2 linked regions of the Drosophila melanogaster genome follow. Changing the gene in region 1 together with any one later gene gives a genetic interaction. Each region holds a gene or a part of one and is shown on either strand. Other genes may lie near its edges. The genes, in order: ytr and Tsp68C.

Region 1 (6,647 bases):
GGGCACCTTCTTCGGCTCCAGCAGGTGGACCAGGGTCTGGACGATCGCATGGTTCGTGGCGTTCATGTGCGCATTGAGCGGGAAATTGCACTCGCCGCTGCAGTAGAAGGCGCCATAGCCCTCTGGTGCGATGATCCAGTCATGCCAGCCCAGATCCTTGAAGTCTATGTACAGGGTCTGCATCTGGCAGCTGCGCGTGCTCTCCATCGGTTCCAGCAGCGGCACGTTGTTGGGCGACACCGACTTCTTGCGCTTGCGTGGATGGCTGGCGCTTCGCTTGCTCCTGTGGTGGCTGCTGTGGGCCGTCGCCTTGATCAGCTCCGGTCCGCGGAAGAAGCCGATCATGAAGGGCTGGAACTCGTCGTCCACCTTGCGGTGGATCAGTCCAATGTCGTCCAGCTTCACCTCGCGGTCGGGTCGGTTGACAGCGTGTGCTCCAATGTAGATGCCATGATTGTCCTTCGACTTGACCAGCCACTCGTGCAGGCCCTCGGTCACGTTGAGCTCCAACCAGCCCACGTAGTCCCCGGTGGTGTTCACCGAGGACAGCGGCTCCATGGTGTGCTGGCCCAGCGTGCCGGTGCCAATGGCGTATACCGTGATGGTGAACTCCCTGTTGGCGGTCAGCCACTTGCCCTCGTTGGCGTTCTGATAGATGCGCAGCTCGGCCATCACCAGGTAGTTGTCGTTGGGCACGTTGGAGACGTCGAACCACAGGCGACGGCCGTGCTCGTGACGCAGTTCGTCCACATTGTGGTGGCGCTTGTTCAGGAAGGTCATGATGATGTCGCTCTCGTCGATGGCCCGCTTGTCCAGGTCGGTGATGAAGTTCTTCTGCTGCTCGCCCTCATCCTCCTCGAGGTCGGCGCTCCTCCTGGACCGATGGCCGCGTTCGTAGTCGTCGTCCTCATCCTGATCGCTGAGACCCTCCTCCGCCGTGATGCGGTGGTAGACGTCCAGCAGGAACTTGGGAGCCGACTTCCTCAGCGACAACTGGTGGCTGCTCAGGTGCGTCGGCCGTTCGGCGATGCCCAGGAACTCGAGGATCTCGTACGAGACGTCCAGCTTGTCGTCCTCGCTCAGCACTCTGTGCATGATCGTCTGGTCCTTGCCGTTGTCTATGTAAATCCCCGACTGGGTGGCCTCAACGGCCGGCGGCGTGGTCGCCACGAACATGAGCAGAACCATTCCGAGTCCCAGGGAGGCGAGCACTGCAACGGCCTCCGAGGTGTTTCGCAGTCCCGACATTATTTCGTGTTTTGGACGGATCGGTTGCGATCGCTGTTTTTCTATATCTACGGCGCTATCCACTTGCGATAGCTTCAGATGTACAGTGGCATTTAGTTGTTTATTTCGAGAGTTCCAGCGAACCGCGGGTTCTGAAAATTCTGACGCACTTACGGATTGTTGTGTGTATCTTAATCTTCAAGATGCATTTTCTTTCTATTTCGCGGGAGTTGGCAGTCCCGCGACTTGGAAAATGAATCGGTCTTGAAGATCGAACTAGAAGATCCAACATAGTAGTTCATTTCAGCTGCGATCGTGAGCAAATATGTGGTTTAATAGCTTCAAAAAAAAAAAGAAGAAACTGTGTAAATGTAGAAAATATAACGTTTATATTGGCAAAGTTCGTAATATTTTGATATTTTAAACTATTTATGGAAGTGGTATTGACGAAAGATTTGTAATTATGAATTTGTTAAATTTATCATAGTCCGGGCATAATTTGAAATATAATATAGGTAATGCTATTAAAAAATATTAATTAATATATATACATAGTTCATATTCAAAAGGAAACAGATCGATTTAAACATTCGGTATGCGATATACATAGGATACATTTTTATCGAAGATAAAATCGACCATCAATCGATATCCGATAGGTGGCCATGTTTTGCCCTTGCATCGCATCCCTCGCATCATCATCCGCATTCTGCATTCCTCATTCCGTTTCGGCGTCGCGGCGAGATAACGCGCGTTGTTTATTTGGTTTTAGTTTTAAGTTAGCGCGTTTTTACCCACCGCCGGTGTCGCCCAAATAATGCTAGACACAGCCTAGTGCAACGGTAAGCGGGATGCGTGCGGTGCAATTGGAGTACATGGAGTCTAACATCCGCTCAAATCCACTGCAGGCAAACCATCATCAATCACTCAAACCGCCACACAAGCAGAGACCGAAACGGAGCCATGGGCCGCAGCCGAAGTCCCGCCTCGCCGGCGCACAGGAGACGCGAGAAGGAGCGATCCGAGCGGAAGAAGCGCAGGGAGCGCCGTTCCCGGGAGCGGGAGGCCATCGGAGTAGCGCCAGCCGGAGGATCCGGATCTGGAGGCGCCGGTCGCCGCGACCGGGAACGGGATCGCGACCGCAGTCGCAGCCGAGATCGGGAGCGGGAACGGGAGCGCGACCGTGCGCGGAGTCGGCGATCTAGGTGAATAAGAAAGTGTAGTGTACCAAATGCCAACCACGATAAGTATAAAACTAGTCACTAAAATCGGGGATGTGGGTCACAGTTCAGGGGCGTGCTGGATAACCGTGAAATGGGGTTTAAATAGCAACCAATATTTATAAGTTTAGGATAAGCTTAGGGAGTGTTTGTGTAGATTTAGGAACACATTCCAACACAGGGGACAATTGACCCCTCAAACCCCCGAAATCGCCGTTCAGAACTTGTTTATTTACCCACGAGTATCGATAGACCCACACTTCGATAGGCAGCCAATCGATGGCTATGCAGCTCTGGCGTCCCAACATCAAAAAAAAATTACCACGTGAAGCGAAATTGTGCGAATTTCATCACGACATTTAAATTGATTTCCGGACATATAAACAGAATCCAGAACTCATCCGGCAGCAGGCTCAGTCAGGCCAGTAAATCCGAAAAGAGAGTAACCAGCAGGAAAAGAGGATCCACGTAAATACAGAGAAAATGGCTCTACGCGTCCAATTCGAGAACAACGACGACATCGGCGTCTTCACTAAACTAACCAACACATACTGCCTGGTGGCCATCGGTGGATCCGAGACCTTCTACAGCGCCTTCGAGGCGGAGCTGGGCGACACCATCCCGGTGGTGCATGCGAATGTGGGCGGCTGCCGGATCATCGGCCGCCTCACCGTGGGCAACCGCAACGGCCTGCTGGTGCCCAACTCCACCACCGACGAGGAGCTGCAACACCTGCGTAACAGCCTGCCAGACGCCGTGAAGATTTATCGTGTGGAGGAGCGCCTGTCCGCGCTGGGCAACGTTATCGCCTGCAATGATTATGTGGCCCTGGTGCACCCGGATCTGGACAAGGAGACCGAGGAGATCATCGCGGACGTGCTCAAAGTAGAGGTCTTCCGCCAGACCATTGCCGACAACTCACTGGTGGGCTCTTACGCCGTGCTGAGCAACCAGGGCGGCATGGTGCATCCCAAGACGAGCATTCAGGACCAGGACGAACTGTCGTCCCTGCTGCAGGTTCCCCTCGTGGCCGGAACAGTGAACCGGGGCAGCGAAGTACTCGCCGCCGGCATGGTCGTCAACGACTGGCTCTCCTTCGTGGGCATGAACACCACGGCCACAGAGATCTCCGTGATCGAGAGCGTCTTCAAGCTTAACCAGGCACAGCCCGCCACAGTGACGACCAAGCTGCGTGCGGCCCTCATCGAGGACATGTCCTAAGCGAAACTTTCCCCACTTTCTACTTGATATAAGGATTATCTGTTATCTTCTACATTTCATTTAAGAAATACAAAACACGAAACTAAAACAAAGTCTGGGAGCTGCAAGCATCAATTAGCTATTTTCCAATGGAAGTTTTTGAGATATAAGCTAGAGGAATAGAGGAATATTGTCTGTTAGGTATATAAATGGATTCAGAATGGATTTTAGAGGGATCTTGAGCTTGATTTTAAATCTTAGAATGAAATTCTCTAGCATATGCATATACAAGCCGGTTATTTTGGGTCTTCAGATGATTGCCAAAATCGAGACGTAAATATGGTCTTTAATGAAGCCAACCGACCGGTTGAGAAGTGTCGCATTTCGCGTAATTAAAACTTCATATTGCACAATCGGGTGCACAACGCCCAAGGTCGCCCCAGTTATTTCCCAGGCTCGTTGCAATTCGAATGCAATCAACTGGTCGGTCCTGTCACTCAAACGAAATCTATAGAACACTCACCACTCACTATGCACACACATTCATAATTTGCAGATCGCGGTCGAGGGTCGCCGGAGGAGGAGGAGGAGGAGGCGGCGGCGGAAGCAGCGGCGGCAACAGCAGCTCCGGACCATCGACGTCGCGAAGGACGACGAGGAACAATGCGGCGGCCACAGCTGCCGACCGGCCCAAGATCAACGAGGCGGACCTGGAGGGTAAATCGCCGGAAGAGGTCGAGATGCTGAAGACAATGGGATTCTGCACGTTCGACACCACCAAGAACAGGAAGGTCGAGGGCAACGATGTCGGAGAAGTGCATGTAATCCTCAAGCGAAAGTACCGCCAGTACATGAATCGCAAGGGTGGCTTCAACCGGCCGCTCGATTTCGTGGCATAGCAGTGCCTAGCAGCAGCCGTTGGCGTTGTCCTTGCAATTCCAATTGCCATTGGCCATCGCCATCGCCATCGCAGCAGCCACATCCTTTTCCGTTGCCCAACTAGTTTGCTACGCTTTTTTACTTGTCCGTGCCCAATGGGCAATGGGCGGCGGACGAAGACCTGCAATTTTATGCAATAGACCGGTTTACGAAATTCAGCCAGCTTTTGGCCCGTCAAAATTTCCACGCATCCAGCTAGTTCAGCACGAGGACAGCCTCGCCACACACATACCTCAATTAGTTATTTAGTAGTCTAAGCCTGAAGTGCGCCTTTGTTATAGAGTTGGCCGCCAGGTTAATTTTACAACAAAAGTCTGGGGCTGAAAGCCAGCCATCCCAGCCAGACGTTCTCGGATGGCGAATCTGCTTTCAGCTGCAGTCGACGACGCACGACGATTGCTTTTTGAATATTTCAAAGTAATTAACAATTGTTTTTGTTGACATCTCGCCATTTTGTACGCATACGAACGAATTAACTGAAGCCAGCCTGAGAAACCCAAATTCACAACAGAAAAATTTCCAAACTCACACACAGACAATTACTTAAAGTATTTGAAAACTTACCACAGCCCGAAACGCACTCTTCACATACCCATACCCTTATCCTTACCCATACCCATACCCATCCTCATCCGCATCCAGATCCCCATCCCGATCCCAACCGCAATCGAAAAGACCTCCCAACAAACTTCCTCCATACGCTGCAATAGTACAAGTTTTACAACCAAACAATATATATCAAATATATATTTAAATATAGAAATTATATATACACACACACCACAAGTACCTTATCCCCGCAACCCCCGAAATGAATCCAACAATAGCCATAGCAATTTGTTGAAAGAACTATTATTTGTTGAACAATCAAAATGTTGTAATTAATCCAGTTAATTCCGATTTCAATCACAAGTGCCAACAGATCAGGCAAGCAACGCTGAAGATGAATCACATTTGATACAGATTACAGATATGTATTTGTATAATCATTCTTTTGTACTCTTTTTATAAGATAGTAGGCATGAATTTTTGTACGCCTCAACGAGCTAACTATTTTAAGCAACAGTTTCAGTTACCCATTTCTTTGCGTTTGGAAAACAGCCACATGTATTGGAAAATTTGAACCATTTTGGACCAGCACCACTCACACACATCTTATAACAATTATTTGTAGTTTTACACACACGAAATTGCAGGGATTTTGTCTTATTTCATATTCTCCTACAATAAACTGATAATAAATTTGTAAAACCATTAATGTTCATGTTGTTTATGTGGTGTTAACTGTGAATGAAACTAATGGATTTTCCATTTCAAATATACATACGTGCATATGTGAAATTTCTTTGGGATCCAAATTATTTAGAAGCGCAAAGTAAACAAAGCCAGTTTAAATTGTATGTTTTTTTTTATTATTTTGTAATACGAAAATTTAATACAATTTGCGATTGAAGTACAATTACAAATGAAATGCTTAAGAGAAATGAATTGTGTGGAAACCAAGTTGAACACAAAATACAAAAATGCTTGGCAAAAGGTAAAAATATACGACTAAAGTTACATTTAGTTATTGTTACGCTTGCTATCGCTTAATGGATTGCAATTTTGCTTTACATAATTATGAAATACATGGGGCGCCGTTTTCTGGCTAGGATTAGAAGGAGGGAAAACAATCGGTTTTGTGCGCGAAGGCAGAGCAGACGGATTATGTCCGCTCGAATGATGCTTGGGTAAGAGGTTGTGTTCCTCTCGATTCAGTGTGTTAGTCTTTTTGTTGCCGCTTCTGATGATCGCTAAGGCTGAAGATCCGCAGGGACCCCGCTGCACCTAATCGCCTTTGCGAGGCTTGCGCTTGCGCACCTGTTCCGTCTTCTCGGGCGCAGCATCGCCGGCCTGCTTGGGCTCCGGCTTCTCTTCCTTTTCCGGCTCGCTGTCGGCCTCCTTCTCTTTAGTGGCCAGATCGCCCACCTGCTCCTCGCTGTCCTCTTCCTCTTCGTCGTCGTCCTCCTGTTCTTCCTCGTCGCTATCGCGTTGCTCGTCATCGTTCTCCTCGGCGTCGCC
Region 2 (4,463 bases), on another chromosome or scaffold:
GGGGAGCCCCTTTTATAGGCCCGATTCCGTAGCTGGTTTATCAGAACACTCGGAATTGTTAGGCTCAAGCCCACTATTTATCCACGATCCGCAAAAAAAGCACCATCATCAGCTTATCGGCATCGCCGTTCTTAAATTAGCAAAGCGAATGTAACAAATCTGTGCCAAGTTTAAGCTGATGCTAATGCCTTCCTGATAGCGGCATTTCCGGGACCTATGTCATAATTTTACTAGAGTCCACGATGGGTGTAAGAATTTTCTGACTTGGGGTAGCCCCCTCTGCTGATATGTCGCCATTCAAAAGTTATATGGTCAACGAAGAGCTGCTGGATGTAAAGCGTCCTACGCAGAAACTTCTCCAATGGCATTGAACTTGGGTGGTGGAATATAATCACTTTAATGTTGGCCAAGGGTGAACTAATTTCAAATATTCAACGTACTACATTGTGACCGTTAAAAGTTATCGGTTCAAGCAGTGCAAATGCTGAATGCAAGCAGTTTACGGTTCATGCGTTCGAGCAGCAGCTTGTCTCGTAGCTCGCTAGAGGGCGCATTGGTGTCAAAATTAGTAAAGTGTATTGAACCTGCCTACAGAAATAACTTTTGGGTACCAAATTTAATTAATGCACGTATTTAAAACAATGAAAACGTTTAAAGTGGAAAAAATCTTCAGATTTACTTCAAAGTAAGCCATCGAAATTAGATTTATGGTTGAAAAACACTGAATACATTAGAAAATATATTTAATATATTCCACACTTAAATAAATAATATTACTAAATATACTTATAATTATACTACTGAGCAAATACATACTGCTGTGATATATATAGATAACACTTTTAAATTTCATACTTTCCTCTCTTGGCTTAGCTTTATATTAGCTTAAGCTATACGTGTCCATTTGTGAGCAGGATAAGGTTTTCAATTAGACCAAATAATTCCTCATTTGTGTTGGTCGGTTGGCTGGGCTTGTTCTTAAATTATGTTGTTTGTACAAGTCTCTCGGTTTTATATACAACTCCTTGAAATCCTCACTGCTGACATGTCTGCTAGCGGGTCCCAGATATATTCCGTCTCCACTGTGATTGGAATTTTCTCTCAGTTCAACATCAGGTTCGTATATATTCTCGATTAGGGTTTGTCGCGATTTTACTTTTTGAGTCCGCATTTCCTGAACAGGTTTCTTAAGCCTAGCCCGTTGCGAAGCAAGTCCGGTGCAGCTCATGATAATGGCGAGTAGGACACAAAATTCAATCATGGCCAATATTAGACTGGCGCCAAGAAAGATGCTGTACTGTTCGCGATACCAGTTGTCCAGATGGGGCAGACATGACTCCGTGTGGCGTTCCCTTTCGTAGGACAATCGTTCCAGAGACTGACACATCGATTCATTGGCCGGCTTGGGGTCCAGATATGCCATGGAATGTCCGGCATTCTTAAGAAAACAGCAACTTAGCGGCACCGGCCAATTCCTTTGTCCATAGCCCTGTAATCTCCACAATGATGTGTCGTAGTCCAAGGAACTTCTCATCCCACAACATCCGAACCGGACCTGTGCCAAATCCAAGGCATTGGTAAACTGCTCCTGCCCCGGAACTCCATAGTTGCTCTGCAACGATCGCACCATCTGAGTCTCATCTAAGCTGATTCCCAGGCAATGTGGCCACAATGTGATGGCCAGGCACAAAACCGATTCGGTCAGCAGGAGCACCACAACGCTCAGGAAGTATATGGTTAGAAAGCAATAGGTGTGAAGGCAACTGGCCCAGAAACCCACAACGGCAGCCAGAGTAGCCACAAATCCCGCAATCGCCACACCCAGTGCTATATAAAAAAGCAGCGGCTGCGGAAGTGAGCTCAGCCGATCGCTGGATGCAGCCAAAAGTCTAGAGAGCAGAATGCGTTTGTTATCGGAGAAGATATATAGACCTGATACTACCAGCAGCAAGCCACATATCTGAAAAATGCAATTAGTCAATAAATATAGCATATAGGAACTACTAAACTTGCTAAAGCAGGAAGCTATACAACTTTCACTTTAGTTAGTCACTCACCAAAAACAAAAAGTTACATAGATTGAGCACAAATTTGTAATTAAAACAGCAGGCCATGTTTACATCAATGCGGGTGTGGGTCTTTCAAACTTAATTAGAACCAAACGTTTTATGACGAAATGCAATTATTGCGACATGTACAAAGATCAGTGATGGCGATGATGTATATCTGGATGTACTGCATGCTCAACAGTGTAGATGTGTAGATACTCCAAATCCGAAACTTCAAATCAGCACCCGTGTATTTCAATTCGGATATATTCAATGCGACGCCATGGACAGTACAATTTAAACTAAACAGTGCGGAGATGCAACATTCTGTGGCAAGTTCAGAGAAGCGAAAGTAAGAGACCACAGAGAATTCGCTCGTAACTCTCTACAAACCCCATGATGGGTAACTCTCATTGAAACTTTTCAAGCGTCGCGCTTAGCTTAGCAAAACAAAACCGAAAACGCTGTCCATCCACCAAAAATTTTAAACTGGAGACTGAAAAGAGAAACCCATGCATGGGGCGCAATGCTCGTTGCTCTTATTTGATCACTGCCACCATCTCCGTGTGCAACCATTTGGAACCGTTTTCCAACAAAAGCCGACAAGCAACAAACAATTACACGAGTTGAACTTTAATTATTACTAGATACCGGAATTTATGTAAAGTTCTTTTTATGGATCACAATGTATTGTGGTTAAGATATGTTTGCTAAACCCGTTACTCATCGTTTTACTTCCCACTTTTTTTTTTTTAAGCTATAGCTTATTATTGAAAGGGTATATAAACTTCGACTGGCCAATGCTAGTTTCATTTCTAGTATGTAAGGGTATACCTTACGGTATATTGATTTTAAAAATATAACATATTACTTTAGCTGTAAATCCTAGTTGTAAATCAATCCTAGTAGGCTTGACCTAACACTTCACCACAGACTAGGCCTTGGCAAATTAAAATCTTGTTTAAAATAATTTGTGTATATTTAAAATCATTCGAACTGATAGAGCCATTTGGAGCGAGTGAATGCGAACCAAATTATGCTTAAGATTCCAAATCGGCGCAAGATGCCTGTGTCAGAGCAACAGCCTCGAGTCATCAAGATAGAGCGACCAACGACTGGAAGGATACTAGGTCCTTTGAACGTGGCCAGCATGCAGCAGCAGAACTTCTTGGCCAAGAACAACCCAAAAATATCCGAAGATCTGGGCAGTCGCTTGCAGACTCTGCAGAGACGTGTCCAAGAGTGGAAGTCTTCAGGCCAAGTCTGAGATAAAACGTAAACTTGGGGATGATGCAAAAATAAATATTGAACAAATCGAAGTAACTTAACTTAACCAAATAAACAAATAGTTAAAGCATAATATTATAAAATATTGCTTCAATGATATACAAATTTTGGTTGTTATTATAGTACAAATTATGTTCATTTGCGTCAACTTTTGTAAGCCGAGCTTTCTAATCACTTCTAAATCCAATCCAAAATATTCCACACCTGCATAACACTCATTTTTAATGATAATTAAATAAAATGTAAACTTGACTCCTATAGCCAAATTGACTAGTTTTCAGAGGTTACCAGTCGTTTGAACGTGGGGTGAGTGACCTACTTAAGTGGGCGAGTGCAATTAATAAGTAGTGCGTTGATTTTTATGGCTTCATTGTGGTTTTGGTCTTATGCGAACGCCAAATGGCCAGTCATTCGGTGTTTAGACGTCTGTGGAACGGTAACATGGAGCGTTGGTGCAATAAAGTGGCCGTGGTGAGCGGAGCGAGTGCCGGAATTGGTGCAGCATGCACCCGTGCCTTGATCGGAGCAGGAATGATAGTGGTGGGTCTGGCCAGGCGGCATGAGCGAGTTGAGAAGCTTCGCAGTGGTCTGAGTCTCGAACAGCAGTCTCGGCTTCACGCAATCAAGTGCGACATTACGCAGGAGGATCAGGTTTTGAAGGCCTTCGACTGGACCTGCCGGCAATTGGGTGGAGTGGACGTGTTGGTGAGCAATGCTGGGATCATTGGTACCGGAGAACTCAGCGAGCGGGATGATGGTCCTGCTATGCGATCCACCATAGAAACAAACATCATGGGCACCGTTTACTGTGTCCGCGAGTCCTTCCGTTCGATGAAAAGGCGAGGAACCGAGGGCCACGTGGTCATCGTGAACAGCGTGGCGGGCTACCAGGTACCCAACCTGGGACCCCAGCTTCCCTCGCTAAACATTTATCCGGCCACCAAGTTTGCCCTTCGCGCCATGAACGAGATCTACCGCCAGGAGTTCCAGAGGCACAAAACTGCCGTGAGGGTTTCGGTTAGTATATTTAGGAGTCCTTCGAGTATGACTTATTTCAATTGCTTCTTTGTGCTTTGAGTATCGGTGTCCTTTTTAAATTTCTTTTGCAGACAGTCAGTCCCGGCATAG

Evidence for each region.
Region 2: of ytr (region 1) and Tsp68C, changing one suppresses a phenotype caused by changing the other (phenotypic suppression), as found in Drosophila melanogaster (one study listed by BioGRID).

The regions. Positions count from the first base shown.
Region 1 is NT_033778.4:23,846,356-23,853,002, reverse strand, and holds ytr (yantar), read left to right. Parts: upstream 1-1,522; 5' UTR 1,523-1,627; exon of another isoform or gene 1,628-1,714; 5' UTR 1,715-1,742; exon of another isoform or gene 1,743-2,135; 5' UTR 2,136-2,190; coding exon 2,191-2,432; exon of another isoform or gene 2,433-2,673; intron 2,674-2,701; exon of another isoform or gene 2,702-2,930; coding exon of another isoform or gene 2,931-3,668; exon of another isoform or gene 3,669-3,757; intron 3,758-4,203; coding exon 4,204-4,546; 3' UTR 4,547-5,842; downstream 5,843-6,647. Other genes in the region: gbb (glass bottom boat), read right to left, coding at 1-1,248; eIF6 (eukaryotic translation initiation factor 6), read left to right, coding at 2,931-3,668; CG5554 (uncharacterized protein), read right to left, coding at 6,414-6,647.
Region 2 is NT_037436.4:13,841,512-13,845,974, reverse strand, and holds Tsp68C (tetraspanin 68C), read right to left. Parts: upstream 2,320-4,463; 5' UTR 2,115-2,319; coding exon 2,058-2,114; intron 1,961-2,057; coding exon 929-1,960; 3' UTR 659-928; downstream 1-658. Other genes in the region: CG8750 (uncharacterized protein), read left to right, coding at 3,085-3,315; CG8757 (uncharacterized protein), read left to right, coding at 3,777-4,352, 4,445-4,463.